3 linked regions of the Oreochromis niloticus genome follow. The protein of the gene in region 3 binds, or shares a complex with, the protein of the main gene of each other region. Links are inferred from orthologs where the notes say so. Each region holds a gene or a part of one and is shown on either strand. Other genes may lie near its edges. The genes, in order: timm23a, timm17a and timm50.

Region 1 (10,571 bases), on a different chromosome or scaffold from region 3:
GATGGGCCACAAACTGGTGAAGGGCTCCTAAATAACCCCCGGCTGTGCCATACTGTCTCTCTGAGCTACCATGCCTTCAGTCCATTTGATGCAATAATAATAACATGGTAACTAAACTGATAATGGCGGTACTTATCCAGCACAGAAACCCTCCATAAACACTAAACTGACGGAGATATGTTGATATTTTGATACATTTTTTTCCTCAGCGGGCACCACTCTTACCTTAATCGCATTATAACATTTATAATTCATTTACAAATGCTCACGTATTGTCATGCTTTCCTTTTAAAAAGGCGGTTCCAGAAATGCATTTGACAGGTCAGATACTGCACAGCGCGTACCGTCAAAAATGTCTCTTATTTCCTCTTGGTAACACATAAAATGCCAACGTGGAGCTTTTTAAAAAAAACTTCTTTCATTATAAAGCGACAGGTGCTCGATGGGGAAAAAGAACAAACTGGAATCCAAAATGCCAAAGTATCTCTGAGTGTTTCCTAATAGGTAACGTGTCTTTATACTGAGACGACACATACAGGACGAATGCCAAGCCTGTGCAGTATGAATACACACATAAAGGGGAGGGAAGGTTGCACTCCTTTTGTCAAATTCTCGAGGACTTACACAACGATGCCTTTTTTTTCTCCACACTACAGTATTCAGCGAGCTTGAACAACAGTGCCTTTATTTATTGAGAGCGATGGAACAATGTTACACCTAAATCTTTTACTATGGCATCATGGCTTTGTGCCCAGCTTGGTATTATATCATCTACATTTTTACGACTTTACATCCACGGCTCTTCTCAATTCAAATTACGGTGCCAAGAGAATAAATAAAAATAATAAAAGGTGGATCATTTGAATTGGAAGTGCAACGCAGTATCGAAGCTACATCTGAAATGTTTATGCGAGGTTCGGACGCCTCCGTAGAACAGTGTTACATTTTATGTCTGTGTTTTATTGTTTCTTTCGGGTGATTGTGTTGCTGGAGATGAAGTCGTCCTTATGTCTCTGCATGTGTTTTTTTTTTTTTCGAGGGTGTGGTACGGTTTTACAAACACAAAAACACACACACGCACACACACACAAGCCAAGTGATGCCTTGATATAAGAGAAAACATGCATTCGTAACATCTGTAACAAGTTTATAATGTATTTTTATATCCTATTTTGTACGTGAAAATAACATTAAATGACCTTTTCAGATGAGAACATTATGCCTTATTATGGAGAATAATTTGATAACTATCACTATCCTTCATGTGTCATAAGTAATCATGTCACAATGTCCTGATAAACTGGAGTCTCTGATGTTCTCTGTATTAACTTGAGCCTCCTTTGCTTGCCTTCTGTGCCTTTTTGTATACTATGAGTGTGACAATTAACAGTGTAGTACAACATTAATCTACTCTTCAGTGCCAAGTGTAGGTTACTAACTGTTACCACTTCTGTGATTATTAACCTCTTTAATGGTATCTGTCTCTGCCTTTAAAAAAAAAATACATGTGTGTCTAAAAAGAATTAAAATGAAAAAAGGAAGATACGTGTTGAACGATGATCTTTTAACTTTTAAAGTATTCTGAGCAGGAATAACTCTTTGTAAATGATTAAACTCATAGTTGTAAAACTAACAAACTTTGTTGCTTTTTCTCTGTAGCACTTAATTATGCAAATCGGCTTCCTTTCCGCATACTAATCACCAAACACTCCTCAGATTCACAAGGGGTGGGGAAAAAACCCAAGCTGATACTTAAAGACAAAAAGCAGGGAAAAGGGCCAAAACATGTTTTTCCCACTTCTCCTTTTTTTCTTCTTCCTGTGTTCTGGCTCTCTGTCTTCCTCTGTTATTTAAGTGGACATTGCACACATTGATGTGTGTAATAAGAGAGAAGAAAACACCCAGCTCACCATGGTTTCTCACAGGCATGCACATGTATAACAGAAAAAAAATAAAAGTGGGGGGGGGGGGGGGCGTGGGTTTCAGGTTTGGAGGACGAGATGGCTGGGGAATTGAAGGGAAATTGATTGTGCAAGCTCGCCCTTAAACATCTGCAGAGTAAATATTCCACATGATCACGGTCCGTCCCTGAAGCCCCAGAAAACCACAGCTAATAACCCACATGCTGTGTGTCATGGTAGCTATTGCTTGTTTTCATTTAAACAGAGAAATTCGAGCCTGTCGACACCTGTAGTTTAAAAAGTTCTTTTTAAAACTGCAGATTTAAAGTTTCTCACACGCAAAAAAAAAAAAGCAAAAAAAAAAGAATCACATGAGGGTTTTTTCTGTGGTGAATGAACCCGTGGGTGGCTCATTCGCCCTCTCCCTGCCCTTCCTGCTTTCATTGTGGAGTCGGGGGGGGGGGGGTTGATATTGAACTTCAGGCTTGGAGTTGAGCCTGCACTGTGGAGGCAACCCCACTGATCACAGAGAGAGAGAGGGGACATAATGTGACCACTGCTGACAATCCTCTGGACAGGAAGAAGCAGAGTGGAAGCACTGAGTGGACATAGCAAGAGAGAAAAAAGAGAAGAGAGAATGTGTGTGTGTGGATAGAGATGGGTGGGGGTGCGTGCATGTCTGGATGGGTGTGTACCCTTGTCTTCATTTTTCCTGTTTTCACTTGAGTTTTTGTGCTTTTTTTTCATTCTTGTTCTCTGGTATGAAACACTCTTTAAGCATCTGGTAATGTATTCTGCAGTCAGCGCTCCCCATTGCCAACACTGGGGCCCAGGGCTCCCAGAGCTTACAATCAAAGTGTGTTAGTGTGTGCATGTGTGTGTGGGAGAAAATGAGCAAAAAGTGAGAAGGAAAGACAGGTTGATTTACATTGCTATGTATGCACAGCATTCTCCACATAATGAACAGCCCCTGATTTCCTCTGCTTGGTAAATATTTGATGACTGAGCGGTGGAATGATTTTAGCTGAAATTCAGAGGACTCCTACAAGCTGCTTAAAAGTTGTATTTCAAATCCCTCTCTCTCTTTCTCTCTTGTCCTCTTCCCATGTAAATAAGGCCAACTCCCCCTAACTCCACACACCCTTCTGAGGCAGTTTAAAGACCCAACACTGTCTCCTTGTATCCTTGGCAACCAGCATACACTGGGGTCCTGTCGTGGCCTCTCTGTCTTTTGTGTTTGGGAGCTCAGAGAGACAGAAAGAAAGAGAGAGAGGGAGAGTAAGAAGAGAGGAGAGGAAGGAGACGAAAACAAGACTTACTGAAAAAGACAACAAAGATGACATCACCGCTATTTTATCCCACAACTGAAAATTTGGTTTGTAGCCCAACGGTGATGAGAATGATGATTATGATGATGAGTAGCCAGAGGCACAAAATGGGTAGCAGCTCAATCTGAGAGAGAGAGAGGGGGGGGGAGGAGAGAGAGAGGGGCCCAGGGCTGAATGGGGCATTGTGGGAAAGACAGTGGGCACACTGGGCAGTAACACAGAGAACACTAACTCACAGATCATGCCAGAGAGTCTGAAAACACCCACACTGGGCGACAATGGCAAACTTCATCGCTCCACTTGGCCCCCTCTGAATACACACATACAATGGCAGAATCCAAATAAGATGCTCTGTTATTCGTGAAATTCAACACACTACATTCCTTCAGTGCCTCCATCCCTTTGGACAGCAGCAGATGGCCTGGTCCGAGCTGCACTGAACGTGCACGTCATGTGTTGCATCACAGGTAGGGCACCCAGCTGGCCTGAAAGGTGTGACAGGTGTCACGTGGAAGTTGTTTTACCTCCCCGGCTCTGCTTCCCTGCTTCAAGTAAATGCAAATGGCGTCATGCAAATTTAACTTGTATGTGCCACCACTGGGAACAAATTTAACTTAATCAGTTAATTAAATCAAGCCTAATTAGAGCGAGGACCGAGAAGGACCAGAACCAGCAGGTTTGACCCTCTGCAACTGGTTTCATCTATACGGTGGGCTCTCTGCTGCCACCCTGTGTCGAATGTGAGGAATTGCACCTCTTACTCGAGAAATATTTGCAATAAACCGAACAGGTAAGGAGATAAAAGACAGGAAAATAAAAAACCCACAGCATGCGTCAGCAGGAGAGCTGAATTCGTTATCTGACTGAATGACTAGTTCCAAGAAAGGTACGACAATGAGTCTTGATGGGGATTTTTTTTTTTTCACAATTTCACAAACTTCTGATAGAAGGATTAGATTAGAAATAAAATAAGTAAAAGTTGCAGTAACGCCACAGAGATCTATGAGAATTAAATAATGATTAATAATCATGGGGTTATCTGTTGTACTAATTTGTTTTATTGCACCATATGTCAAACATCTGAAATTCATCTGCTTCATCTGGATGTTATCAGTCCACTCAATGGATGTGAGTCTCAGACAATGAGGCCTACTGATTGGATTTTTAAGACGTTTCAGTTTTTATACCCATTAAATAAAATGAAGTGTGTAGTGAGTATTTTGTACATAAAATAATTGTTGGTATATTTGTAATTAAAGTATTTTTGAAGCTGACAATAGAAAAATCATGAGGTCAAACTTGTTTTCAAGTGCAAGAACAATATTGTAAATTTACCAGTTTATACTGTATAATCATTATTACCAGGAGAAGCAGAATTTTAAAACAGATTGTTCCTCTTTCTCTTTTTTATTATGTTTTACCATTATCGACATTTTCATATAATTACTTTTACTTACATGGAATATATTCTTGTACCACCAATGCAATTTCTATCTTAAAAACATTCTATATCTGCTTTTATTATGCAAGGAATCGTGAGGCTGCAGAACAATATGGATTTATCCCAGCCAATCAGCAAAGATCAGGCTATGTGACAGATAATGACATTATTGCATGCAATCAATCAACAGTGACCTGGGGCATTTCACACCTCTGCGTTCTTTCAGGAAATTGGGTTTTTCTACCCCTACCTACTCTCACACCCGCGGTCATAACATTGAAACTAACAGCGGTAAGTTGTTCTATTTTTTGTGGCATAAAAAAGGTAGCACCATATTTGATCACAGGCCCTGTTCACCTGAAACTAGTGCAAGTAATGGTAAGAACATTTTTTGACATACACTGGATGGATCTGTGAACCGTACTTATTTCGTATTACAGACATTTTCAGGCTATAATAATTAAATATGAGTAATTTTATGGGTTTTTTTGCTTTGTTTTTGTTTTTGTTTTGTTTTGTTTTTTTACCTTTTAGCAGTTTTTATTATACTTAAATTGCATACATTGGTGTTTATTTTCCCTGTTAGTCTTATTACTGCTAAAAACGATATAGTAATTCAATATTTGTGATTTATTTTGATTTTGATTTCATTACAAATCAAGTCAATATTTTATCATTTTGTTTTTGGTAGATCTTTTTTTTCTTTTTTCTTTTTGCAGTGGTCTACTTGGCTCTTGTATGGAAGCTTACCCATTCAGTACTATGCAAGAGAATAACATAACATATTTGGGTTTATACAAAACTGTGTGAATGAACTTACATTAACTTAAATCTTTGAAGAAATGTATAAATAATTTGCCAAATTATCTTACTTGAGATTACAACAGCTTCACCAAGTACCATGAAGCAGGTGGCTGTGACTGGTGATATGCAGGTTTGTGTGTAAATATATAGCATAATAACCACATTGTCTTATTGGATACTACTACCTTACAGTAGTTTCACAAAGTATCATAAAGCCTGTCACTGGTACATGTAATATTCTGATTCATCAGAATATTACATATATTATTATATTATATGATCTCTATAGGGTTGAAATTCTGAATTTCCATACCCTATAAAGGGTTAAATGGATCTCGTGTCCACAGTTACCCTGCAGTCAGTTTTTTTACGCTCTGCCTGGTCCTCAAGTTTGCCCTTTAGTTAAGTCAACAGATCCCAGATCCGTTGAACTGTCGTAAAACCGTGGTTTTATTAACGATATCAGAAAGATTTTTTAGTCGACTTATCACTAATAGATAAGCAATAGTACGAACTTTTGGTGTTAAAAACAAGTCTGAGCCGATGTTTTCTCTCATTTTTCACAAGTTACTGTGGGTTTTGTTGACGTAACGACAGTGCAGCACCGGTCATCGCTTTACGGCGGAGCGTGCTGCTGGAGGTCAGAGGCATGACGATAACGCGAGATTGGTAATATCGAAGCAAAAAGACGTAATTTTCGCTCTAAAAATCCAGCAAGACCAACAAATACGACCTGTGTTGACGTTTCCTTCTGGCAGTAGTGAATTCAGGAGCTCGTCTGATATACGTTTGTCTAATAGCTTGAGGGTTTCGACATATCTTGCTAACGTTAGCCAGTCGGCTACTGTAGCAACTCCCCTTCAGCCTCCTGTTTGACTCTCGGAACATTTATCCAAGCATGGATAACAACTCACAAGGATCGGGGGGAGTTAAAGCAGGCCTGGGGAGTCTTTTTGGAGGGGGTGCACCTCAATACTCCAACACAGAGCTTGCAGGTGTCCCACGTAAGTGTCATGCAATCTAACTGTGATGCTAGTTACTATTACATTACTTAGGTGTTGCTGTACTGTCATTCAGTATCTGAAAAATCAACTCAGTGGATAATTGATCGTTTACATTACAGTGACTGGAATGAGCCCTTTGTCCCCTTATCTCAACGTGGACCCACGTTATCTGGTTCAGGTAAAGCTGAGTCTGTCTCCTTTTCTTTGCTGTGAGTGAGAATGTTTTGGATTTTTTTTTTTTCCAGGCATGAGTATTTGAATCTTGTGTTTTAGGACACAGATGAATTCATCTTACCTACAGGGGCCAATAAGACAAGAGGAAGATTTGAATTGGCTTTCTTTACCATCGGAGGCTCCTGCATGACTGGTAAGAAACTGGTACACTGACAAAACGGGTTTAGTGCTGAATATGACTTGGAAGCATGTGCAAATTAAAGTACTGTATAGTACAGACTAAGTAGAAGTATGTTGATGTCCTTGTTTTGTCTGTCCAATTCATCTACATTTTTTCCTGTTGAGAGCGACAGCTGTGGTCAGAAGATTACATAAAGGTGGAATGATTGCACTGCATACATCTTTAATGAAAAACAAGATTGAATTTATTTTTGACAGAGTCTAAATTACACATAGAGGCTCAAATATAATATACCAACTATTATTTGGTTAGCAAGTTCCACCTTGATCAGATGCTTTTGGTTTCCGTCAATAAGCTTCTGGCATAACTGTGGCTGGACATTTGATGACACTTCTTGGCAGAAATGATAGTTTATTTGTTGTTTCCCGCATGGACCTGGCTTTTAAGCAGAGTCTGTAACTTTGGAACATATTCATGTTCCATTCACGGATATGTTCATATGGGTAACTGCAAATTTAAGTCGAGCTTGAAGGTTTTTGGAGCAGGGGATCTTTCATGGTTGGCACTTTCTCAGCCCATGGTAATGTAAAACTGGCTTTTACATTGAATTTGACTTATGGACAGTGAGGCTGGTGTTTTGGTTTCCAGTTCATGGTAGGCTTGAGCCTTGGTGGTTCCTAGGTTGCTCCTGAACGTGCTAACCAATTTCCTGTCATAAGGGTGACAGTTTTGGTCATCTTCCAAACCTTATGTTCAGCTATGTTTAAAAAAAACAAAAACCAAAAACACAAGAGACAGACATAAAGTGTGGGTATAGAAACACAAATGCAACAAGAACACACACACAGTTAATGGCATATAAATCTGTCAATGTTATTTATTAAAACCAAAGCATGATGCAGGTGGAATAGTGTGAAATAATCCTTTGACTGACCCTTTGTTGACCTTTTCTGCATCCTTGTTTGAAATGCAGGGGCGACATTTGGGGCATTAAATGGCCTTAGAATGGGTTTGAAGGAGACCAGAGACATGGCATGGTCCAAACCACGTAACGTACAGTAAGTTTGGTTACAGAATTCAGTTTATCGAATGGTTTTACGCTTGGATTTGGGTTGCACGTTGTTCAAATGTTTATCTTCCCTCCCCAGGATTCTCAACATGGTGACAAGGCAGGGCGCTTCATGGGCCAACACTCTGGGCTCTATTGGTAAAGCTTTATTGTTACTTAAAAAAATGATGTAGAGGTGTTACTGTAACAAGAATATCTATGAATCCCATGGTTGGAAGATCTTAGTGTTACTGATTTAAATGGATGGATGTATTTACAGGATTTTTAGTTTTCTAATTCAGTATATAATCATAATTTAATTATTTTGTTTTTCTTTATGTCACTGCAGCCTTGCTGTATAGTGCTTTTGGTGTTGTGATAGAGAAAGCCAGAGGAGCAGAAGACGACATCAACACAGTGGCTGCTGGGACATTAACGGGGATGCTCTTTAAATCTGGCGGTTGGTGTCTTTTCCTTTTTTCTGCTTCTACTTTATATCTGGCATTAATGTATATTAATGTACCTCTGTGTGTTTTTAACCTTTTAAATATTAGTTTTTACCAATAAATGATCCAAACATTAGTTTTAGCAAATATCAGGCTGTCAGCAAGCAAAATGGCATTTACCAATGTTGGTGTTCATCAGTTATTTGTCATTTATTTTGCTCTGCAGTTTGATAAAGACTGAAAATTTCTTTGGTTCTTGTTTACAAAATGGGTGACAACATAAACAAAGTAAACACAAACATGTATGGAAATGCTCAGTTTTTTAGTTAAGCCTTGCCAGTACAGACTTGGACCCCAAGTCTGTACTGGCAAGCTGCCTTAATTGTTGCCTTAATTGTTCATGGCATCGATTCAGCAACGTGCTGGAGATTTTGGTCCACACTGACATGATAGCATCACAAAGTTGCTGTGCATTTGTCAGCTGCGCTTCCATGATGACTCACCACTTAGGTGGTCTGTTGGATTGAGATCTGGTGACTGTTGCCATTCAGCTGGCAGATTAGACAGTTGCGTTAACAAGCAGGTGAGCAGGTGTACTAAATAAAAGGGCCAGTGGCTGTTTTAAGTTGTCAGTTAGCAGACTTTTAAAATCCTATTAAAATGATAGTTTGTTCAAAAGAATGAGTTAAATGTGACACATACAGTGTTCATATTCTCTTATTCGAAAAGCTATTAGCAGGGATTCTTTTATATTAAATCAAGGCTAAATTTTGAACCATATGTCGTAATCATTAATACTGCACTGACTTATTCATCTTATGCTGTATAAATGTTGTGTGGGCATGTCGTGACTTACAAAGGGCAGTACAGTGAATGCGCAGGCACTGAGATTATCTTTGGAAAGCACCTAAACTTTGTGTTATTAATTTACTCCATGCTGTTTGAAGTATTAGGTTTATCTTTGCCCACCTGGTACTTTGGCTAAGCTGAAGCAATTATTGTTTACTGTAATTAAAATGATTATTGTGATGCATGTTAAGCTGTATGACTCACTCTGTTTGTTTTCTCAGGTGGATTAAAGGGCGTAGCTCGTGGAGGTCTGGTTGGTTTAGCCTTGTCTGGTGCCTACGCTCTCTACAACAACTGGGACCATCTCACCGGCTCTCCTTCATCGAGGCTGTACTAAACTCCCCCACACAGCTGCTTCAACATTAGGGCCAAATATTTTGAGGACGCAGCCTTTAACCACAGCGCTAAAAGGCATTAGACTCTGGTCAAATGCTTTTTCTTTTTTTTTCTTTTTTTCCATTTTTGTTTAGTTTTTTGGGGGTTTTTCATGGTGCGAATTGGTCGCAGTTCACTGGTTTCCCATCATAGCTGTTTTCCAGGAGCATTCTGGGAACTATGAGATGTGTCTTGGAAAGGTTTTGGACTGAATTAAAAGGAAATCCAGACGTAGACCGTCCAGTGACAGTTCTCCTTTCATTTATGTTGATTCTCTGAGGTGTTCCTGTCACTGATCTGATCAGTAATGAGAGCACTCTGTGAGGATGCGGTATAAAAATATACTTTTTGCGATGATTGTTAATGGAACACATGTTATTACGCTAGATTTTAAATACCCATGATATTTGGGTTCAGTGAGTCAATTTGTAAGATAACCTCCAACATCTGTCGTGTTGTTTAGCCCTTGGATAACAACACATTCATGTTCTGATTCATGTTGGACTGAAAGACTCTTCTGTAATAGAAAAACAGCTCAGACCTGCAGTCAGAGGGAAGCCTTGGGGTTAGTTTACTCTTCTATTTATTGAAACATATTGGTTTCTGGTCCACTGTGGAAGAAGAAATCACTGTAAACTGTACCTTGAAGTGCATGCTGTTAATATGTGTCCATCAAACCCACTGTATTATAGATTAAAATAAAATAAAGAAAACAAAACTAAGGAGGTGTTCAGAGATTTTGCTTTTAACCAATTTTATTGCATAAATGAGATTGGATGTAAAAGGTGGTGAGCAGTGTGTACTATGCAGTGCTTCACCAGAGTATAAGTATATACTGTAAGAAGATGACAACACATTCAGAACATGTATTAACATCATGGAGTGGAAGGAACTGGCTGTGAGACTGTCTGTAGACGTCGGACATTTAATGGCAGAGCTTATGTTTGCTGCGAGCGCTCAGTGCAGGAAGAAGTCCCTGATGCGCGTTGCCTCGATCCAGGGGATGTAGGCGACGGTGCG
Region 2 (10,999 bases), on a different chromosome or scaffold from region 3:
ACAGAAACAGCAAAGGTCCTGAAAGTTCAAAAGAAGACGGGAGCTGGCGTTCAAGTCGAAACAGGAAGCTGGATAGCAGAGAGAGCGACACGAAAGAGGAGGCCCGTGACAAAGAGAAATATGAGGACAACAGGCTGAGAGACAGAAGAGAAAACAGAGTGAGCACAGGCAGCAAAACACAGGACATGATCTCAAAGTTACAGGAGAAAAAGGATGAGAGCAAAGAGAAAGAAAGGAGGGAAGACTGCAGGAGACGAGATGACAGCAAAACCAAAGACATTATCTCAAAGCTACGAGAAAAAAGCGAGAAAGATGTGGGCAAGGAAAAGGAGAGAAAAACGGACAGTATCAAGACACACGGGCTTGTCTCTAAAATGGTGGAGAAGCAGAGCAAGGCATCAGAGAGCCAGCTTCAAGAGTGTAAACCTGAAGAGAAGAAGGCTAAAGCAGAGGAGAAGAAATCTGAAGACAAAAACAAACCTGATGTCAAACTCGAACGACAACCTTCTGAGAAAGACGAGGTGAAACGTGACAAGATGGAGAAAAGAACAGACAGAGAAGAGTTGGTTAACCACAGTGACCACGTGAAAGAGAAGTTTAATGCTGAGCGGAAACCAGAGGAGAAGGCGCAAAGAGAGGACGGTAAGGTTAAGAAAGCTGAGGATAGTGGGAAACTTGCTAACTGTGCTTCCAAAAACAGCCCTAACAGCAAGGCGAAGGAGGCAGAGGAGGAAGACGAAGACTCGAGCATGTTTGATGAGCTCATGCAGCAGGTGCGAAGCAACGACCCCTCCCTCACTGAGCTCAACGTCAACAACTCAGAGGTCATCAAGACGAAAACGCTCATCGAGTTCGCAGAAGCTTTGCACAACAACACCCACGTCAAGACGTTCGCTCTCGCTAACTGCCGTGCGGACGACCATGTCGCTTATGCCATTGCCGGCACGATCCGCAGCAACAAGACTATCACCAGCATCAACCTCGACTCCAACCATCTCACCGGGAAGGGCATCCTGTCTCTCATCCAGGCGCTGCAGCACAACTCCACGCTGACCGAGCTGCGCTTTCAGAACCAGCGGCACATCTGCGGAGGGAAGACCGAGATGGAGATGGTCAAGATCCTGAAAGACAACACCACCCTGCTCAAGCTGGGCTATCACTTTGAGTTAGCAGGACCCAGAATGACCACGACAAACATACTGAGTCGGAACATGGACAGGCAGAGGCAGAAGCGCCTGCAGGAGCAGAAGCAGGCCCAGGCCAATGGGGAGAAGAAGGGAACACTTGAGGTGCCCAAGAGCGGAGGTGGAGGATCTCTGAGGAGTTCTCCCAAAGCTTCGCCTAAACCTTCACCCATCCCTTCACCTGTGCCTTCGCCAAAGCTCACTCCAAGAAAAGGAGCTGGAGGTCCGGCTCCACCACCACCTCCGCCTCCTCCTGGGGGTGGACCACCACCTCCTCCACCTCCTATGGTGGATGCAAACCGCCCAGGTGGTACGAAGAACTCAAGGGACCAACTGCTTGCCTCTATCAGAGGAACCAATATAAAACAGCTGAAGAAGGTACATCAGAAGGGTTGACGAAGAGGTTAGCTCACCGATGCTGTGTTTGGATTCACTAATGTTTTATTTTTCTCACAGGTGCCGGTGCCAAAGTGGCTGCAGTGATATTTCCTGCTGGAATATAAAGTGAAGAAGAAGAAGAGCGAGGGAGAACAGACATCTCACCAGAGGGTTTCTAGGGGATAAACTTTATAAATTCCCCTGGCTGGTTAAAGTGCAGTGGGGCAGATGAAGACAGTGAAACATGAGACGATTGGACGAACAGCCCTCACTATGAGTTCTCCCAACAACACTGGACCAAAAAGACTCTGTGGAGAATGAGTGATGAAGGGCTCTCTGCAGAGAGTGCCATGGGTTTGAGGCTGTTTGTCTTCCATTCATACTGACGCTTGGCTGGTTATTTGCACTAGATAATATGAGGCCGATCATATAACATGTTGGCGTGTATATGCATCTGAATGTGTGGGGGAGTGTGTGATGAGCTTAATAAGAGATTCAAACAACTCTATAAAACTAATACTCAAAAGTATGTAATTGAGATTAATTTGAAAAGTTATTTATTTGTGGAGAGGGAATCCACCTTATTAGCTGTAAATCTGTAAGTCAAACTGGGAATATCAGGGAATTAACAAACATGGCGGCCTGACTTAAGAAAATCTGGGTGGGTGGAGAAAACAAAAAGGTCAAGGTGGTCTTTGATTGTGTGTCTCAAATCTCAAGACATCTCAGGCAGGTTTGGAAAGCAGCCCAGTGGAGTCCTGGGACATAACGAATGAGTCTTAGCACGGAAATAATTACATCATGCATTTTATCAGGAAGTGCAGGAAGATAAGTTTCAGCGTCTGATGTTGTGTTTTGTGCAGAATCATTCTAGCCTGGGTTTTACATCAAAATGTCAGAAACACCATTAAATCAACACTACTGTTGGTTAATGTGCTATTTAAAAGTGAATATCAGTTCTAAAGGAAATTTAATGTGATTAGCAAAAACCCGAGTGTTGTAATGAAGCACATACATTATTACACGTTTTTCTTACAGAGCCTGTATGTTTTCAATAAAAGATTCTGCTATGTTTGCAAGTTTAATGATACCTGCCTGATAGAAGTGATTGGAATGTTTTAATAATCTGTTATTATATTATAATTTTTAGCTACAATAAATCAAATTATGTATATGATAATGTCATTAATTCTATATATATGTGCATATGATTATATTTGTATGAATATAGATGTGCTCAGACGTTTACATCACTGATCATGGGCATGTTTCAGGCTTTTAATGATTTCTTCGAACTGTTCTTTATCCATATTGCAATGATTGTACAGCACACAGCTTTAATTTCTTTGAAAAATAAGAACTGGGTACACAAGTTTTAATTTTTCCAAAGTCTGCACGGGGTCAAAATTATACATAGAGCCTCAAATATATACTTATACCTCAATAATACTTGGTTAAATGTCCCTTAACACATTTGGTAGTCATCAGCAAGCTTCCAGCTGGATATTTGACTAATACTGGTAGAATTGGTAGATTTTATTTAAATTGGTTGGTTTCCTGGCACAGACCTGCCTTTTAAACATTGCCCACAATTTTCAAAAGGATTGAGGTTTGGCCTTTTATTTGTTTTTCTGTCTGTTTAGAAGTATTGCCTTGTTAAAAGAACCTACTTTGTCCAAGTTTCAGCTTTTTGGCTCCTAATTTGAGGTGAAATTCAGGAAATTGGAGATAGTCCTCCTTCTTCATTTGTCCATCCACTTTGTGCAATGTACCAGTACCACTGCCACCATGCTTCACAGTTGGTACAGATGTCTTTGGTTTGAAAGGGTCACCTCTACTCTTTAAAATATAACTCTCGTCAGTGTACCACAATAGTTCAATCTTTGTCTTGTCTGACCATAAAACTTTTCTCCAGAAGGCATTTGGTTTGTCCATGGGGTCAGCAGCAAATTTCAGTTGTGGTTTAAGGTGTAGATTTTGGATCAGGGACCCTCTCAGTCAATGGTGATGGCATGTTTAGAAATGGTTCCATGAAACGTTCCCAACTTGTATAAATCTACAATTCTCCTGAACTTCATTGAGTTCGTTGGACTTTCCCATTATTCAGAGTATTGGGGAATTCAGTGGTTGCTGTCAAACAGATGCTTTTTATGGAGACAAAGAGGAACTACCAATCGTAATCTCTCATGATCATTGGCAAGAAGCAAATAGACCTCGGCCTTGTCGAGTTAAAAGACACTTTAAAACCTTCAGCAGCACTTATTAAAAGGTTTTAGTCTGTGTCTGTTTTTGGCCTGTGTGTATAATTTTGACCCTGTGTGGATTAGAAAAAATTACAAATAAATTCAAACACAATTCTTGCATTTTAAAGTAAATAAAGACGTATGCTGTACGATGCTTCCACCCTGGAAAAGGAGCAGCTCGAAGAAATCCTTATGAGCCCCAAATGGTCATCACATTCATGCCTATGATGAGTGTATGGAAGCTTCTGACCACAGCTGTATATACATTCAAAAATGCAATGGCTTGTACTCACATCAGGATTTTACGACATCACTATGATTTTTGTGGCTAGCTGGGGTCCAATAACTTACTTAGGGTAAGGTGGAAACTTGCGGTGTCCATATGCTAAAAAATACCTTTCCAGGAAAGCAGGAGGCCTCTCGTGTCTCATAGTTTAACTACTGAAATAACCATGGATTCAGATTTTTTAAATTTATTATGTATCTGCATTTCTTGATGGATTAATTTAAAAAAAACTACAAGGCAGAACCTTTACCAGACAAAAAACATTATATCAACTAGCGGATGTTTTCGTAGCATGTATATCTGTGCTTCTGCAGTGGACCACGAAGAACTTTTCTTCTATCTGTTGCTCTTTACATAATGTGTTTAAAGCTACGTGGAAACATTGGGAGCTGTCTAGTGTCCACCCACCAGCTGGAAAGGTAGCCATCATCCAGAGAAAAAAGAGAGCAGCAGCAGCAGGCCAGTTTATCTCTCTGCAGCCTTGCCTCAGTCTCTGCATCCACAAAATGCCTATATTTGGTCATTTCTCAATGAGGGCTTGCTCTGTAAGTCATTCCTTTCTCGTTCCTAATAATGGGCAGCGAGCCAGCCTTCTGTCTTTTAGCTGTAGCTGCTACTCTGACCAATAGTCTCAGAAGGAAGAAAAAGAGGAGAAGGAATGAAATGTTGAGATTACTGGTTTTCAGTGCCATCAGAAGGCCTCTAAGTACATTGCATTGCTATTACTAAGAAAACACTAGGAGCACAGCAGAGTGTGGTTATTTTGCTATGAAGATTTCTATTTGTGTTGCAGAACATGTAAAAAAAAAAAGATTTTATTACGGGGTGTTCTATTGTTTTTCTACCTGTTTTTTAAGCTTTGTTGCTGTAAATAAGGCTTTATGCGATCAGTGTGACGTTGCTTCTGTTGATAGAAATGTCAAAACTCTCATATACATGTCTGGCTGTCCTTTAATTTGCTTCATGTTGCTTATCGATGTGAATCAGCAAACATCTCAAGTACAATGTGCCATCTTTGCCTTTTATTATTTTACAGCTTTATTTTGTGTTGCTTACAAAGGATTGCTTAATACATCTATAATAAGATTCATACCCCACTGAATTGTTCACAACAAACTGTGAATTATTACACCATTAATGATGGCAGCAGCCAGGTGGGGTTTATTTTTATTTTTATGTGCTCTGGTTTATTGTTTCTAATTGTGTAGGTTTTGTGTTGTTATGCTGCACTTTCTGTTCCTGTTATGTTTAAGTATCACAGTCTGTATCCACTGAGTTATTTAGTCCCTTCAGTGCGTTCTTAGGTTGACTCAGTATTTCAGTTATTCATTCCTCTTTTATTTTGGTAGTCTTTTGTATCTCGTCTCTTGCAATTAGTTTAACTTCCTGTTTCTTGATTTGGTTGGACAGTGTCTCATTACACTCATGTTTCTGATTCCCCTGATTACCTTCCATGTGTATAACTAGTCCTGACTCCATTGAACTTTGCATTTTGAATTCCATGGTCATGTTGTATGTTTTCCCTGTCTGCTGTTAGATTCAGTTTGCGTCTTCTCATTGACTTTTGCATTTCTGGATTTCAGCAACAACCTTTAATAAAAGCTATGTTTTTAGTTACATCTGCCTGCCTTTGAGGAACCTGTTTTCAGGGGCGTCTACAGATTTTTTTCATAGGGGTGACCATATGGGGGTAGGGTTGCCATCTGTCCCGTTTTAGTCGGGACATCCTGTATAATAAGCAAAATTAGTTTGTCCCTTATTCCACTTTAAATGTCACGTATATAGACCGTTACCTGCAATGTCACATACAGTGCATATTTACACTATACCCAGTTGGTTGTGCACTTTGCTTCTGGTAAGCCAGAGTATCCCTTATTTGATAATTAAAAAGCTGGCCAATGGGGGCAGGGGGGACTAAAAACATTGGCGTGGCACACAAAAAAACTGAATTTTGAGTTTTATTATACTGTTGTCAAATACAGGTTACTTGAAAAATATAGCAAAAAAGAGAGAAAGAAAAGAATTATATGCCTAGTTCATTTCCTGCTATCAAAGTTGATATCACTGAAAATAGGTACATATGAAAACCAAATAAGATTTTAAAATCCATAATAATCTGTTTTAATTGACTGATTGATTGACTGGAAGTCCCAGTCATCGCTTTAATGATTCTCAGCAGAGTTGATCTGAAGCGGCTTAAGCAAATTTTACTTAAGTAAAAGCTGATTCAGAATAGAATAGAAAGAAAGATATAGACAAAATAAAAACAAAATAAACAGACAAAATAAATATCTAGATGCTTCAATATCAGTTAAAAAAGAGAAAACAGCATCGAATTAAAAATACTCAAGTATAATATAAGTCTATAGTGATTGAACAGTTCTGCTTTTTTACTTTACACCATTCTTTACAAGATTTTTTGGTATTTCTATGGATAGCTTTACGAAATAGGCTGTAATAACTTTAATAAACTCTCAGGACGGCAGCCTGAAGCTCGTCCTTCACCCCTGCATGCTCTGTTCCTTTAAGACATGACGTTGTCTCTATAGTGTCGTTACGTCAGGTGTTTGATAATCGTTACGTCAGGCGGAACAGCAAAGAACAAAATGGAGGAGTATGCCAGAGAGCCATGGTGAGTCCTAAAATTAAAATTAATCCCGTTTTCCGCACTGTTTCAGCGTGTACTGCAGTGGGCTGCGTTTTGAATACATGCCATGTTAGTTGTGTTTAATGTTTTTTATTTTATATCACGTGACACGACCGAAACACCTCGAAACCGGCCGGCTAGCTGTCGTTAGCAGAAATGCTAACTTCGCATACACAAGTGAAGGTAGTTTGAGCGAGCACTGCGTCGGGACGGCTAAGTCACGTTGTGACCTTGTCGGTTTTATTGCCACATGTCATTGCTTTAAATTTACTGACCCCACAAACCGGTGCTTAAAAAAGGCATATAACATCTATTGTAAACGCATACTGGTAGCCATTCGGGAAAAGTTGGAGTAGTTGTTTTAGTATTATTTTGCTTTGGCGCACAAGTAAGCTAGCTGGATTAGCTACTTGTGCGCTATCTAGACTGCAGCCTTATGACGCCAGCTAGCTTGAGACATGTCCTGTTCAAATAGTTTATGAACTTTTAACAACGTCACTGAGGATTTAAAATAAATGTTTTTACAATTACATACACTTTTTCCCGGTGGCTGCCCTCGTGTATGCTTATTTTGGTTTAGGTTTAATTTATAACAACCGTGAACTAAATAAACTTTTTAAAAGTTAAAGGTTGGCCTGGTTCGCTGTTTTTCTCCCACTTATGTTTTTATTATTTTGGCCAGCTTTGAATAACAATTTAAGATCGGATACTAATGGTCAAAAACACGGGACACAAGGTTACTGTCCTTCAGTATCACTGCAAAATGTTCTTTTCGTGATTTAAGATGTAATGCATCTGTTTAACATAAACGAATGGCTATGACTAAAATGGAGAATCCAGTTTTACATACATAAACGATTACATTTTCCTGATTTTGACCAGAAGTCATATTACATAGAATGCAACCATCTAACTATGTAAACCTGTTCTAATAAAGTCGTGTGTGAAAAGTAAACGTGCAGTGTGTTTGTTTAAATTTGAGATGCGGTCATGTGAAGTATAATCCTCACTGCTCAGACCTTGTGTTGAAACGTAATGCTTCATGTTTTACACTGGGTCAGAGGTTGTCATTAAAATAGGACACAGAGAGTGACCCTGTGTGTTTGTGTGCGTGTCTGTGTTTTTCTTCGTCTGCCTCCATCTCGCCCTATCCCTAGCATCGTTTTCTGTCACACCAACCCTCTGCATGCCCTCCTCCACTACGTTGCCCCTCTGAGGGCTTCCGCTTTTGCTCATGTCTGGCAGGTCTGTATTCAGCATCTCTTTTTTTTTTTTTTTTTTTTTTTTTTTTTTTTTGGTCAAATGTGTGTGTGTGTGTGTACACATATATAATGTATGTATGTATGTACACACTAACCGTCCACAGCACATGTTCAGACCATCTCAGCCTTGCCTCTCAAACTTAGTTTCTGTTTAAACTGAGCTTTCGCTATAATACTCATTTCTAATCCTGTCCATTGTCTCTTAGTTCACTGCCAATCTTAACATCTTCATCTCAGCCTCCTGTCTTTTTGTTAGTGCCACTGTCTGCACATCATACATCTCGGCAGGTCTCACTACTATTCTTTTGTAAACCTTCCCTTTCACTCTTGCTGTCATAAATCAGCCCTGACACTAGTCTCCATCACCACCGCCCTGCCGAATCTCTTCTTCACTTCTCTTGTGCACTGTTGGTTGCTTTTGGATGTATTTAAACTCATCTGACTACTCTTCACAGCTTCACTGTTACATCGGTCTCCCTCTCAAAGGCCAAGTCTGTGTGTGTATAGTTAGATTTTACGAATGTTGATATTCAGATGACCTATATCTTATTGTCATATTACCAGTAATAAACTAGTTCTTCTTCCTTTACCTTTGGATTAATTTAGACTTACAGGGAACATTAAGAGATTGTTATGAACATGCAATGAGAGATCTCAAATGTCATGACATTATTAACTTAAGCAAACTAAAATGTCTGTGTTCTGCTTTTAGCCCCTGGAGGATTGTGGATGACTGTGGGGGAGCTTTCACCATGGGAGCTATTGGAGGAGGAATATTTCAGGCAGTGAAAGGCTTCAGAAATGCACCCTCGGTAAGTTCAAGGACTGTTTTCTGGTCTCAGTCAAAGCTGACATTCAAGGTACTGTCCTTGGGGTCGGTGTCACACTCAAAAACACTTGATGATGAAGCAGTGTTTCTGTCCCTGTAAACAGGAAATTTTCTTTTTAACCCAACCTGAATTTCGAAGACGCACCATTTTCTTTTCAACTTATGTTATCAATCATAATCTGAAAATTCTAAATCTTTGGTCTCAGAAATCCTGACCTGACAGTGAATTTCCACTGATGCATGTTTTTTGTCTCTCTTTTTTATGTAGGGGATGAGCCACAGAATGAGGGGTAGCTTAACTGCTATCAAGACCAGAGCCCCACAGCTCGGGGGTAAGAACAATTGCCGAACTGTTTCAAAGGTCATTTCTCTTCCTTTGTAAAGAGCATGGGCTGTAGTCAGCAGCATGTTGTACATCGTCTGCAGTTCCGATGGTGACAAGTTAATCTTGGGAAATATTTCAGCTCCGTATATTAAAGTAATTATCCTTTAATTAAATAAGCTGCTATTGGAGCCCGAAGGCATAATCTGTGTACAGAATTTTTAATACTTTATTTGCTGTTGAAGTGTGTTAGTGGTAGAAGTCACTTGTGTAAATATGTGACGTGGGTGATTGCTTAACAAAGTGACAAGCGTATCTTCACTGATAACTTCAGCTGATGCAAATCTTTTCTTTGGCGTGTTGCAGGTAGCTTCGCAGTATGGGGAGGCCTCTTCTCCATGATTGACTGCGGTTTAGTAAAAGTGCGAGGGAAGGAGGATCCATGGAACTCAATAACAAGTGGGGCCATGACAGGAGCTATTCTTGCTGCAAGAAGTGAGTAGCCAACAGAAAACTTGCATACCTCATACAAACAGCAAATGTGCTTTCACATGCATGTCCACATTTATTACAACCCCTCCTGGGTGTGAGATTTTCAGGCTTTTTACTTCAGTGGCTTCTTGTGGGAGGTTCTTAAAAAAGAAACAAAACCTGCAACAGCTGGTCCAGTAAATCCAGTTTAGACTTTCCTGCAGTCAGTATGAGGAAATGGAGTTGTTGATTCTTGTAACTGGTCTGCATATTTTCATTTTGGTCTACTTCTCTTTATAGATTAGTTTTTGCATCACTTTCTGGTCATTTTGCTTACTTTACTGGAGCAGAAAAACTTGAAGATATTTGTACAGGGACTGTGGGGTCCTCATGTAATTCTGAACAACTTTAACAAAAGATTGAATGGACAGAAGTGGTTTACACATTCGCCCGACAAGCAAAAGATTCCCATTTCCAGTGGAGTTGCGTCAGGAATGGCGAGCAGCGGAAAGTAGCATGAAAACACTTGTGCTATATACCTTTTATTGAAATGGATTATAATAAGTTGTATCCAAAAATAGTGGATTAAAACTGATACAAAAATTGACGGTGGGAACATTTTCTAACAAACAGTATCATCTCAGTCTTGTTGAATTTACCTTTTAAGTGCAGAAATGAATGTTTTATGTGATTTTAGTCAATTAATGCTTTTGGTTTGTCCATAGATGGACCGGTAGCCATGTTTGGCTCTGCCGCCATGGGAGGTATCCTGCTGGCATTGATAGAGGGCGCTGGAATCCTGCTTACTAGGTTTGCCTCTTCACAGTTTCCAACTGGTGAGTTATACTTAGGTGATTTTTTTTTTATTAAACTCAATGAAAGAGACTGAAGAGTGTTTTCTGTAACGAGGACCCATTGTGATAAATTACTGTACATAAAAGTCTACCTAAGCACCAGAAGCCATCAGGCGTGAAAGAATACTTAGATGAAAGATGACATGACTGCGGCAAAGAAAAAAAACACTGAATGTACTGCGACTTCAGCTCTTGTTGCCCAGCGCCTGATATGTTTATCTTTGTTGACTGTACTTTAGGAGTGTTAGTCAACCCCCAGCTTGCTCACATGCTTTGCCGAAAACAGTATCCAGTCACCATGCACACAGTAGCATGGATTATAAACATCAGGTCTAATATGTGTGATAAATCTCATCTGATTTTTCTGCAAATGTTCAAAATTTTACTGCTTGTGTTTGTATTGTGGGACAAAACAGAACTTGATCATCATATTGAATTTGATCATCTTTAAAACTTATTCTGAAACAGTGTTTATCAGTGATGATACTACAGTTATGGCAAAATGCGAATATTTGAAGACTGA
Region 3 (10,346 bases):
TTACATTTCCATCCTCTCCTCCTCAGAGTCTTTAAACGGATCACTCTGGGTCCATTTTTCTACTCGACAAACCTGTCAACTAGGGCTGCCACAAACGATTATTTTGATAGTCGACTAGTCACCGATTATTTTTGCTATTAGTCGACTAATCAGATCATGCATCCATTGAAAGTAAAACGTACAGCTTATTGCACCAGCAGCATCTGCTCTTATATAACTATCATTAGCTTACAGCTTTAAGTGTTTAAGGTATGTGCTAACTAAAAATAAAGACAAGATGATAGTTTATTAGATTTAAATGAAATTTGCAGATTGTTTCGGTGGAGTTTAATAAACGCAGCCGTCTGTCTGCTCCTTGCTATCTAAAATATAACAGGACACCGGAGTATGTTCTCGAGCATCTCACACTTCTGATAATCATTCGTCTGCTTGACGTTTATTCAGCTGTGTAAAAACTATAACTTTCATCTCAGCCAACCCGATTTACTCAGGAACAAATAAAATACTAAAAAAAGCCAAACAATAACATTTTTAAGTTATCTGGGTGACTTATATATCGGGGCGATCGTGGCTCAAGAGTTGGGAGTTCGCCTTGTAATCGGAAGGTTGCCGGTTCGAGCCCCGGCTCGGACAGTCTCGGTCGTTGTGTCCTTGGGCAAGACACTTCACCTGTTGCCTACTGGTGGTGGTCAGAGGGCCCGGTGGCGCCAGTGTCCGGCAGCCTCGCCTCTGTCAGTGCGCCCCAGGGCAGCTGTGGCTACAATGTAGCTGCCATCACCAGTGTGTGAATGTGTGGATGACTGGATGTGTAAAGCGCTTTGGGGTCCTTAGGGACTAGAAAAGCGCTATATAAATACAGGCCATTTACCATGCTTCACCTGAGTAGTGAAAGACGGCGGTGGGTTTGAAAACGATTTGCCCAGAGTCCGGTGTTCTCACCGGCTCTAGTGAGCCTTCAACCCCCGCTAGCTAGCGAGCTGGTGGGTAACAGACATCTCAGAAAACGTCGGAGCACTTTTGAAAATATGATGTGTCTTGATAAACCAAGCAGTTATTTTAAGTTTACACAGCTACATTCTTGCCTGAAAACATGTTAATCGTTTATTTTGTGACCCAGAAAGAATAATAAGAGTAACATTAAAACTAACTAGCTGCCGCCATTGTTGGAAACTGAGCAGGGCCGCGATGGGTCGCGCTATGAATTCTGGGACAGTTTCTTCTTCTTCGGGGTTTAACGGCAGCTGGCATCCTTGTGCATGCAGTGCTGCCATCTTCTGTTTCAGTCCGTTATTACACTCTTAAATCCTACTACTTATTCCTGCGTCTTTTGCGATCTTACAAAGCTTCAAACGACGCGTCGACTATTAAATTAGAAATCGTCGACGTAATCGTGACTAGTCGACTAATCGTGGCAGCCCTACTGTCAACGATGCTCTTCACCATCCTCAGTCTGACTCTCCTCTGAAGGACAGGCTGCTAGCTCCACCCATCTGTCCCTGCAATCAGGGAGCTGAGTGTGACCAATCACACCCACCTTTCCATCACAGGAAGAGGAAGTTCAGAGCCTCAGCGCAGCCTGACATACAGATTATACCTGCTCTTTTGTTTTTTTGTGGCTTTTGAAGATGGTTCAAAGAATAAAGACCTCCTGCTGCATCTCCTGGAGGCCGTTTGAAGTGCCTTAAACTGACATGTTTAAACCCAGCAGCAGAACCAAACATCTGATCCATCTTTCATCCATGACCAACAACCACGTGCTGGGTTCATGTTTTCAAACAGGGGTATAAAAGTGCCCGGCCAAAAAGCCCACTGTGATCTTTCCAGGAGTTTAATATTACTGACCCCCAGGGTAGCTGTGGCGCATTTATTCCAACAAAACCATCATTAAAATCTAAAAAGAAAAATACAGAGCTGCCCTGCATACATAACCCCTGTATCCTTACAGCACACTCGCATGAAGGAAACAATAAAAACCCTCTTCTCTGTTAAAAATGCCACACCACACTAGACTCTGTCAACTATTAGTTTAAAAAAACGCTCCTTAAACCTTCTCAAGAATTTCTCAGTTTGTCCTCTGACTGATCTGCTTTTCTTTCTCATGGGAGGTTTGACAGGATCAATCTGATGTGTCCTTGATCCAACACAGCTGATTCAAATGGTTAAATTACCTCCTCAACATGTCGTGAAGTTCTCCAGAGGCCTTGTAATGAACAGGGTTTAGATGACCCATGCTGATATCTAAAACCTGCAGGACACCGGCCCTCGAGGCCTGGAGTTTCCCAACCCTGATCTAAAACATTAAAACTCTGCAGCTCTTTAATGTTTGTCAAGTTTCTGGATAGAAACCAGGTAGAAACAGCTTTGTGTCTACTAAAATTTATTTTCAGCTCCTTTTGTCACATCACTCCTACAGAAAGAGGTCGAACCAGATTTGAACATAGCGACCTGCTACTGAGCAAGCTGATTGGCTGACAGTGACTGTGTTTCCACCTGTGAAGCAAACCGGCTGAAACTGACCCTAAGTGAGGACGCTGTCAGGAGAGGCAGCAAAGACTCTCCATCTGAGTGCACAGGACGAAGCTTAAAGACTCACCGAATATATAAACGATGGCAACCGCGGCGCCGACTCCCATGAATCCCGCCAACCGCAGCACCATCTTCTTGGCGTAGGCCGTGTTCTCCTTCTGCTTCCTGTCCTCGGCCTTCTCTCCCTCCCTCTCGCCCTCCCCTCCCTCTGGAGGAGGCTGACCCTGAAACAAAAACAAGCATTTCTGTTTAACTCTGAACTAACATTAATGAAAAGTGCTGCACTGATGCGCTCACCTTCAGTCTGAACTGAGAGGAGAGCGTTAGAGACGTCAGCTTCAGTCAGTTTAACACAAGGAAATGTTTTTCCTTGTGTTGTAAAAAAAACAAAAACCCAACAACTTTATTCCCAAAAAGAGAATTTACAGAAACAAGATAAACTGACAGGAGGCGGTTTGGTGTGTGTGCTGGCACAGTCGACAGAGCGTGGAGGAGACGAGGAGAGCTGTGCAGGGCATTAGAGGAGCGCTGCATGACTGCTACATAGCAGCCTTCATCATGCTCCTCTGGCATGTTTCTGAGCAGATTGTCAGAATCAGACCGCATGTAGCAGGGCCCGGGCTCACAGCACAGTGCAGCAGAGGACACCACAACCAACAGTCCAGCTCTGGTGGATGAGAGCAGGTTCACACTGAGCACAGGAGACAGGTGAGAGTCTGGAGACGCAGCGGTGAACGTTACGATACCTTCAGGCTCATCCAGCATGACTGGTTTAGCTGGATAAAGTCTTCAAACCCAGTCTCAGGTCTGATGCTGCTGCAGTAGGCCCTCGTGTAGCCGGGGTGTGTAGTGAGTTTCTGAAAGATGATGACACTCATGGTCCCCAGACTTGAACCCAAGGAGAACCTCTGGGAGGTTCATGCACCTGATGCTGAAAAACAGAACTGCAGACTGCAGCACGCACAGATGCACTGGTCCATGTCTGGGAGGAGATCACCCCTAAAACACCGTCCATCATCTCATCAGGAGCATGCCAAACTAACTGAAAACTTATGGGACAATTTGATTTGGAATCCAGCAGTTAAAGAGTCGATTCAGTTTCCACTCATCAGTGTTATTTTATTCAACATACGTCAGCAAAGATTGTCAACCTTAACATTTCATTCATTTGTGTTCCTCAGCAGCATTCACACACGCAGGCATGGATGTGTGAATGTGTGCATTTTTAAATGTTATACAGACTGACAGAAACCAAAATGGTCTAATGGAAGGCTGTTGATTTCCTTCGTGTCCAATTAAATTCATGGATTTTAACAGATTTCAGAACTTCCTGCATCCGCTGCTGGGAAGAAGTGTAGTGGCAATTACTCAGTCTTTGACTAAAATCCTTTTTACAGTTCGTCTGTAGATGTCACAGTTTTATGTTTGGAGTCTGTGGGAAACACACGGTTAGGAGTCACGTGGTGGGTGGCTTCCTCCGTGACCAGACACCACATCTGCGCTGCACATGGAGGAGGAGGGTGGGGGTCTGTTCTGACCTTCAGAGCGAAACAAACCTCGGCTGCTAACGCGATTTATCCCGCAGATAAAATCAAGCTGTGCCCCTACAAACACACACACCTGCAGGTGAAGGGCAGGTAACCACAGCAGTGCCAGCTGCACGCTCACTGTCACACCTATGCTCAGATGTACACACACTGTGAGGACACTCACGTGAGCCAGACTCAGGTAAGCTGTGCTGCTACAGCCAGACTCTAGATAAACGCATGCTAACATTAGCATGCTGGCTAGCTAGTTAATGCCGGGTTCATTCATTCAGCAGACAGCTGAGCCCGCGTGGGGTGGTGCCGTCATAACGTCACATTTGTGAAGATCACGTGTGTCGCGACAAACCCCACAAAACACACAGTTTAGTCCGTCTGGACCCGCGTGGGTCAGGAAAAGAACTTTATGTAAGCTAGCTGTCAGTCTGAGCTAAGGTTGGAAATGTTCGTTCATGAGTTGATTTACATCACCAAGGCGGCTCGTGAGGGAGGGGTTTCACGGTCGGACCTACTACTTAGTACAGTTGCCCCCGCCGACGCCACTGAGTGCTGTTAAGGTTGTAAAATGAAGCGCACCTGTGTCGGCTGCTGCTGCTGCTGGAGTCTCTCCTGGAGGATCGCCTGAGCTAACCCGCCCGTCGCACTCCCCGCTGCGGCCGGCGGCTTGTCCGTGGACAATGTCCGGATGACGTCCACCATGGCTGGGGCGGAGGCACCCGCCGCCGCGCTCCTGAGCCGAAGGAGGCCCCGGCTCGCCCGTAAACACATGGGGAGCACACACACAGCCGACATGTTGGAAAGTAGCACTAGAGCTAACGCAAATGACGCGAGTAAGAAGGACAAAAGCACCCGATTGGCCGAGGCCATGTGAGGGGCAGGCAGACGTCCCAATCAGAGGAGTGGAAAGCCACGTGGGGCGCTAGGAGGGAGGGCTTTGTAGGGTTGACACCAATCAGAAGAAAGAGTGAGTCTGACCTTCGATTGCGACATTAACCCTCATATTCTCCTCAAATATTACTAACACGTTTTACCCCCAAGAGATATTTGCCTCCAGAAAATGGTTTGCATATAACTGATGAGGAAGTGTTTGTGTCAGGCACTTTGTTTATTTATTGAATACATAAATAGCCCCTTGATAATGAAACTCTAGCGCCACCATCGGGCCAGAATTTTAATTTAGAATAAATGTATCTTGAAAAGTTTGCATTCAAATATTTTCAAAATTACTGTCAACATTAATGACCACAAGTGGATGAACCCTATTGGTTTTTGTTGATGACATGACCTTTTCTATAGCGCCACCATCAGGTCAAACTTTTAATTTTAGATTTAGCACATCTTCAAAATCTTTCATCCAATATTTTTCTAATTATGTTTCTAATCAGGTGCTTCACCAGGGGATTTACCTGTGTAAACGTGCATATTCCAGGCAAAGCTGGACTGTGCATTACATGCTGCACATATTTTGATGCCACATGTGAGCATTCGAAAAGTTTGGTTTACAAGACCTGTGCTGGCAAATGATATGGGGACTGTAGATCACTTTAAATAGTTACTTACTGAGCACTCAAACTAGTACAAAAGTTATTATTATTGAGGGTTGTTTGTGCAGACATGATGGAAGGCTGTGTGCAAGAATGCAGGAGTGAACCAGAGCAAGGTCAAGAAACAAAAGCCCTCGAGATAGATGCTGCCTCAGATGCATGAAACTGGGTAACAGGTGTGTGTGTGTGTGTGTGTGTGTGTGTGTGTGTGTGTGTGTGTGTGTGTGTGTGTGTGTGTGTGTGTGTGTGTCCATCCCTAGGTGAAGTTGCAGCTGAGGGAGCAGAACAGAGCACAACCAGGCCGTCAATAAGGGGGGCTAAGGCTAAACCATGGCCCCTTCTCAACGGTTTTTGACCAATCAGGTAGACGCATATTCTCTTTTATAAATATGGGTACCGTTAAGTTAGGGCCATCTATTTTCCGTGAGTTGGCTACAGAAAACCGATGCAGACTGTGGTTTTCCAATGAATTATTATTTCAACAGCAATAAATCTGTTTAACTTTAACTGGACCTGAGCTCTCTTTCTGCGAGAAAAAAAGAACACACAACACATATTTGGCAGGTTTTCTCAGCATATATTGCCGATATGGACAGCAGCTACGAAGCGCAACCAAGCACTCATCAACAGTCGGATGTGGGGCTGGATTGTACAGCAGGGGTAAATGCTGTGCCCACTTGTTCCACACGTACTTTTTTGCTGCAAGTTTGTCATGATCTCATCGGCCCTGCCTTGTTTCCCTGTCATGTATGACACAGGACAAAACGTGGAAGGTCCTGAGAGACATGGCGGCTGGAAATATTGCCCTTTCAGTCTCAGCATTACAAAGGCTTGCTGTTGCTTCACCTTTTGACTTGTAAACTCCTGCCAAACAAGCCAATGTAGCCTTTCAAGTCAGTTACATCCAAGTCTTTCCAACTGTCCCTGTACACATGCGTCCCCTCTAAATTTGTCATCTGAAGTACAGCATTTTCAGTTGACTGTGTCATGAAGAGCTCAAATAATGACTTGATGTCCTCAACATGGTTCACTGCGTATCTGGTGAGGTCTGGATACATTTTGATAACAATAGCAGCACTAAGTCTACCCTGTTGTTGGAGTTGGAAAAGGGACCAAATTATCGTTCCATTTTTGGAAGGGATTGCTTCTGCTGGTGGGTGAGAGCCAGCCGGAGGGTCAACACTCTCATTCTCATCAAATGAGAATTCTTCAAAATCAGGGTCCTCCTCAACACAATCCTCTGTTTCTGATACATTTTCCTTTATGTCTCTTTCACTGTCAAAGAGTTATGCCAAAACCTTATTGACAGTAAAGCTTTTCCCAGAGGACATTTTTTTTTCTTTTTATAGAGGATACAGATTGGACAGTACACGGTGCACTCAGACTAATGATTTAGAAAGAAGGCTGTCATGGAAGCTTTTATAAGTTTGCTCCTCCCTTATTTTACATGAGCTGAGTCCATGTCCTTGTGGGAAATTCCCAGCCACCACTGCATGAGAAATATCAGTTCTAATTTCGCAGGTATGAGTTTAGTAGCACACACACACATCTTCAATACTTGGGCTGTGAGGTCAGCTCCATGATCGTTAATATGCAATATGTACCATTCACAGAGAGTTGGGAAATGGCTGCAATCACAGCATTGTAAGATGGTGACAGATAACACATTACCTCTTAAGTTACAAAGTTTGTTTGTATTGTGTTCAGGAAGTGGGGACAGTAGAAGGAAGTTTGACTTTAAGCATCAGTTTGCTAAGACCACACAAAGGCAAATGTGTCCGACAGTCAAAGGTATAAGAATATGGAATTCTCTCGAAGATAATCTCAAGAGTTGTACAAACATGCACCGTTTTAAAATGTGTTACATACTTAAAAGGATAAATCAATATGAAGAACATGAAAGTAATTAGGGCTAAATGTGGAAGAAAATTTTTCATTGCCATTTAATGCTGTATATTGCTGATTATATTGATTTGTTGTTTAGTTTTGCATTGTTACATAAAGATACATGTTAGAGGGTTTTTTGGGGGGTATTGGCGCCCTCTTGTAAGAGTATTTGGATTGCAGATAGGGGGCAGGTGCTAACAAGAATTTATTCTTCTTCCTGCTCCTTTTCACCCATGGGTGCAGAGTTATATTAATGGGAAGGAGGTTTTGTATGTAGGAAAAGAAACACTGTTGAACCATGTGTGAAATAAATAAAGAAATGAAATGAAATGAAATGTACCCTTAGGCCGCCTCCTCGATTCAGAGATGCCTCTTTGACTCCGCCCTCAAACCAGCGTTCCTCCCTGTCCAGGATGTGTACATCCTCATCGTTGAAAGAGTGTCCACTGGCCTGTAGGTGTAAATAGACTGCAGAGTCCTGGCTTGACGAGGTAGCTCTGCTGTGTTGTGCCATCTGCTCTGCCAGAGGTTGTTTGGTTTCCCCGATGTATAAATCCTGGCAATCCTCCTGGCACTTAACAGCGTACACTATGTTACTCTGTTTGTGTCGGGGGACCCGATCCTTGGGGTGGACCAGTTTTTGGCGCAGCGTGTTTTGGGGTTTAAAAACCACTGTTCCGATACTCCTGACACATACGGGATCACTATGGGTTTTCTCTTAGGCAGCGGTTGTCCTTCTCTCCTGGATCAGCTGGAGTTTTCTTTAGGTGCCTTCCCAGCTTTGACAAAAGTCCAGCTGGGATAACCACATTTACTCAGGGCCTTCTTGATGTGATCATCTTCTGCTTCCCTGGCTGCTGTGTCAGTGGGGATGGTGTTCGCTCTGTGTTGTAGCGTCCTGATGACACCCAGTTTGTGCTCCAGTGGATGATGAGAGTCAAACCTTAGATACTGATCCGTATGTGTAGGTTTACGGTACACGTCAGACTGGAAATCTCACAGTCTAAGAAAGCTAACCTGCCACTTTTCATATCCTCCCTGGTGAATTTGATGTGTCGGTCCACTGACAAATAAATAAAGGATAGATAAGAGTCACTTTGCCAAAAACTGATTGTGGCTTCTACCTTGTGTGCTGAGCTGTATGTGTAGCTCAAGATGAGTTGATATCATTCATGAGAATACATTTGACATATGTTTCACATATTCTAGGCCAACACGTCATTTACAGTAGTTTAAACACAGATATTCATTTTTTGGCAAATTGCTCTTTGACAAACATCACTCCCTGGACAAAACCTGACCCGTAAATAGAGGTTTTAACTTACCTGTACAGGTTTTATGATGGTCCCAGAACATTTCCCTCTCTCTCTGGTGTCTTTTCCCGCTGCCCGGCCTCACTTTCACATGGCACTTTACGAGGGACAGGCAGAGGTCTTATATCAGACCCAGAGACCCAGACTCCCCCGTGCACGGTATCGGTCAGCGTTGGCAGAGATAAACGGGAGAGATGTTGAAATTCGGCTTGAAGGAACAAAATGTTAGAAAAATTCTCGTGAGACACACCGAGTAACAAGTTTCAACGTGTTTATTTTACTTGCAAGGAAGCAAAAGCATAAACAGTAAACATCACAAAAATATAACAAAGCTTTCAGAGCACAAATCAAATGATGCTAACATCAGTTAACCATTGCTATACATGGTCTTACAAAAAGTGCAAAGAGAGGCCATGATGGCACATGCACATGAAAAACAAAGTATGTCTGAATTCAGGGTGCTGAGGTTGGGGTCATCCTGTAATCTCTTACAAAGTAGTTAGTTCTTAAGAGATTACAGGATGACCCCAACCTCAACAACAGGACCACTCTCAGCATTGACCAGGTGTGTTTGCTTTTGGAACTGTGTCTTCATTCCACCTGTTTCACATACAAGGGTCAGTACTACAGGCAGAAACACGGGTGTGCCATGGGTTCCCCAGTTTCACCCACTGTGGCCAATTTGTACATGGAAGAAGTGGAAAAGAGGGCTTTGCTATCCTACCCTGGAACACCAGCAAGTCATTGGTTCAGGGATGTGGATGACACCTGGGTGAAAATCACATCTCAGAATGTACCACAGTTCACTGATCACACAATAATAATAATAATAATAATAATAATAATAATAATAATACATTTTATTATTTTATTTGAAAGCGTCTTTCAAAACACTCAAAGTCACTGTACACAGTAGAGTAAAAAGCCAGATAAAAGCAAGGAGTTTATACAATCATAAAAGCATAAGACATAAACAAATTTAAAATAGTCGAATGGAGAGGTTATGTGGGATAAGCCATCACAGGAGTGATGTGGTGGACAGAAGGGGTCCTGGTGATGATACGGGCAGCAGAATTCTGGATGCGTTGAAGCTTGTGGATGGATTTTTGAGTAAGACCAAAAAGAAGTGAATTACAATAATCAATCCGGGAAGTAACAAGGCTGTGGACAAGAATGGCAGTGGCATGTGAGGTGAGAAAAGGACAGAGACGATTAATGTTGCACAATTGAAAATATGCAGACCGAGTGACATTATTAATGTGTGAATTGAAAGAGTACTGTCGAGGATGACACCCAAACTTTTCACAGAGTATTTCACAATGTATGAGATGATGCATAAGCGTCCGCTGTGTTGCAACTATAACAACAAAACACATGTGGACATAGCTGTCCACTGTAGTGACCACTACACTTGAAAGGGTTAAGATGACTAATTTAGTGCAACTTATTTAATGTGAGTACATAGTATTTAAAATAAATTGATTATTTTGAGTAGTACTAACCCAAGTACTGAACAAGATGCCCCATCAAAC

What was found.
Region 1: timm50 (region 3) and timm23a share a complex: the UniProt entries of both Homo sapiens proteins name them as parts of the TIM23 complex. The link is inferred for Oreochromis niloticus from reciprocal best matches to the Homo sapiens genes TIMM50 and TIMM23.
Region 2: timm50 (region 3) and timm17a share a complex: the UniProt entries of both Homo sapiens proteins name them as parts of the TIM23 complex. The link is inferred for Oreochromis niloticus from reciprocal best matches to the Homo sapiens genes TIMM50 and TIMM17A.

Annotation. Positions count from the first base shown.
Region 1 is NC_031973.2:8,932,591-8,943,161, forward strand, and holds timm23a (mitochondrial import inner membrane translocase subunit Tim23), read left to right. Parts: upstream 1-5,988; 5' UTR 5,989-6,372; coding exon 6,373-6,478; intron 6,479-6,597; coding exon 6,598-6,656; intron 6,657-6,751; coding exon 6,752-6,845; intron 6,846-7,806; coding exon 7,807-7,891; intron 7,892-7,981; coding exon 7,982-8,040; intron 8,041-8,230; coding exon 8,231-8,341; intron 8,342-9,397; coding exon 9,398-9,513; 3' UTR 9,514-10,250; downstream 10,251-10,571. Other genes in the region: zgc:112285 (elastase-1), read right to left, coding at 10,509-10,571. UniProt on the Homo sapiens protein: Essential component of the TIM23 complex, a complex that mediates the translocation of transit peptide-containing proteins across the mitochondrial inner membrane.
Region 2 is NC_031970.2:6,726,275-6,737,273, forward strand, and holds the start of timm17a (mitochondrial import inner membrane translocase subunit Tim17-A), read left to right. Parts: upstream 1-6,577; 5' UTR 6,578-6,697; coding exon 6,698-6,723; intron 6,724-7,845; exon of another isoform or gene 7,846-7,972; coding exon of another isoform or gene 7,973-7,983; intron 7,984-8,712; coding exon 8,713-8,812; intron 8,813-9,097; coding exon 9,098-9,161; intron 9,162-9,517; coding exon 9,518-9,646; intron 9,647-10,347; coding exon 10,348-10,458; intron 10,459-10,999. Other genes in the region: lmod1b (leiomodin-1), read left to right, coding at 1-1,562, 1,641-1,667. UniProt on the Homo sapiens protein: Essential component of the TIM23 complex, a complex that mediates the translocation of transit peptide-containing proteins across the mitochondrial inner membrane.
Region 3 is NC_031979.2:37,473,358-37,483,703, reverse strand, and holds the start of timm50 (mitochondrial import inner membrane translocase subunit TIM50), read right to left. Parts: upstream 4,945-10,346; 5' UTR 4,938-4,944; coding exon 4,647-4,937; intron 4,255-4,646; exon of another isoform or gene 2,880-4,254; intron 2,751-2,879; coding exon 2,594-2,750; intron 1-2,593. UniProt on the Homo sapiens protein: Essential component of the TIM23 complex, a complex that mediates the translocation of transit peptide-containing proteins across the mitochondrial inner membrane. Has some phosphatase activity in vitro; however such activity may not be relevant in vivo.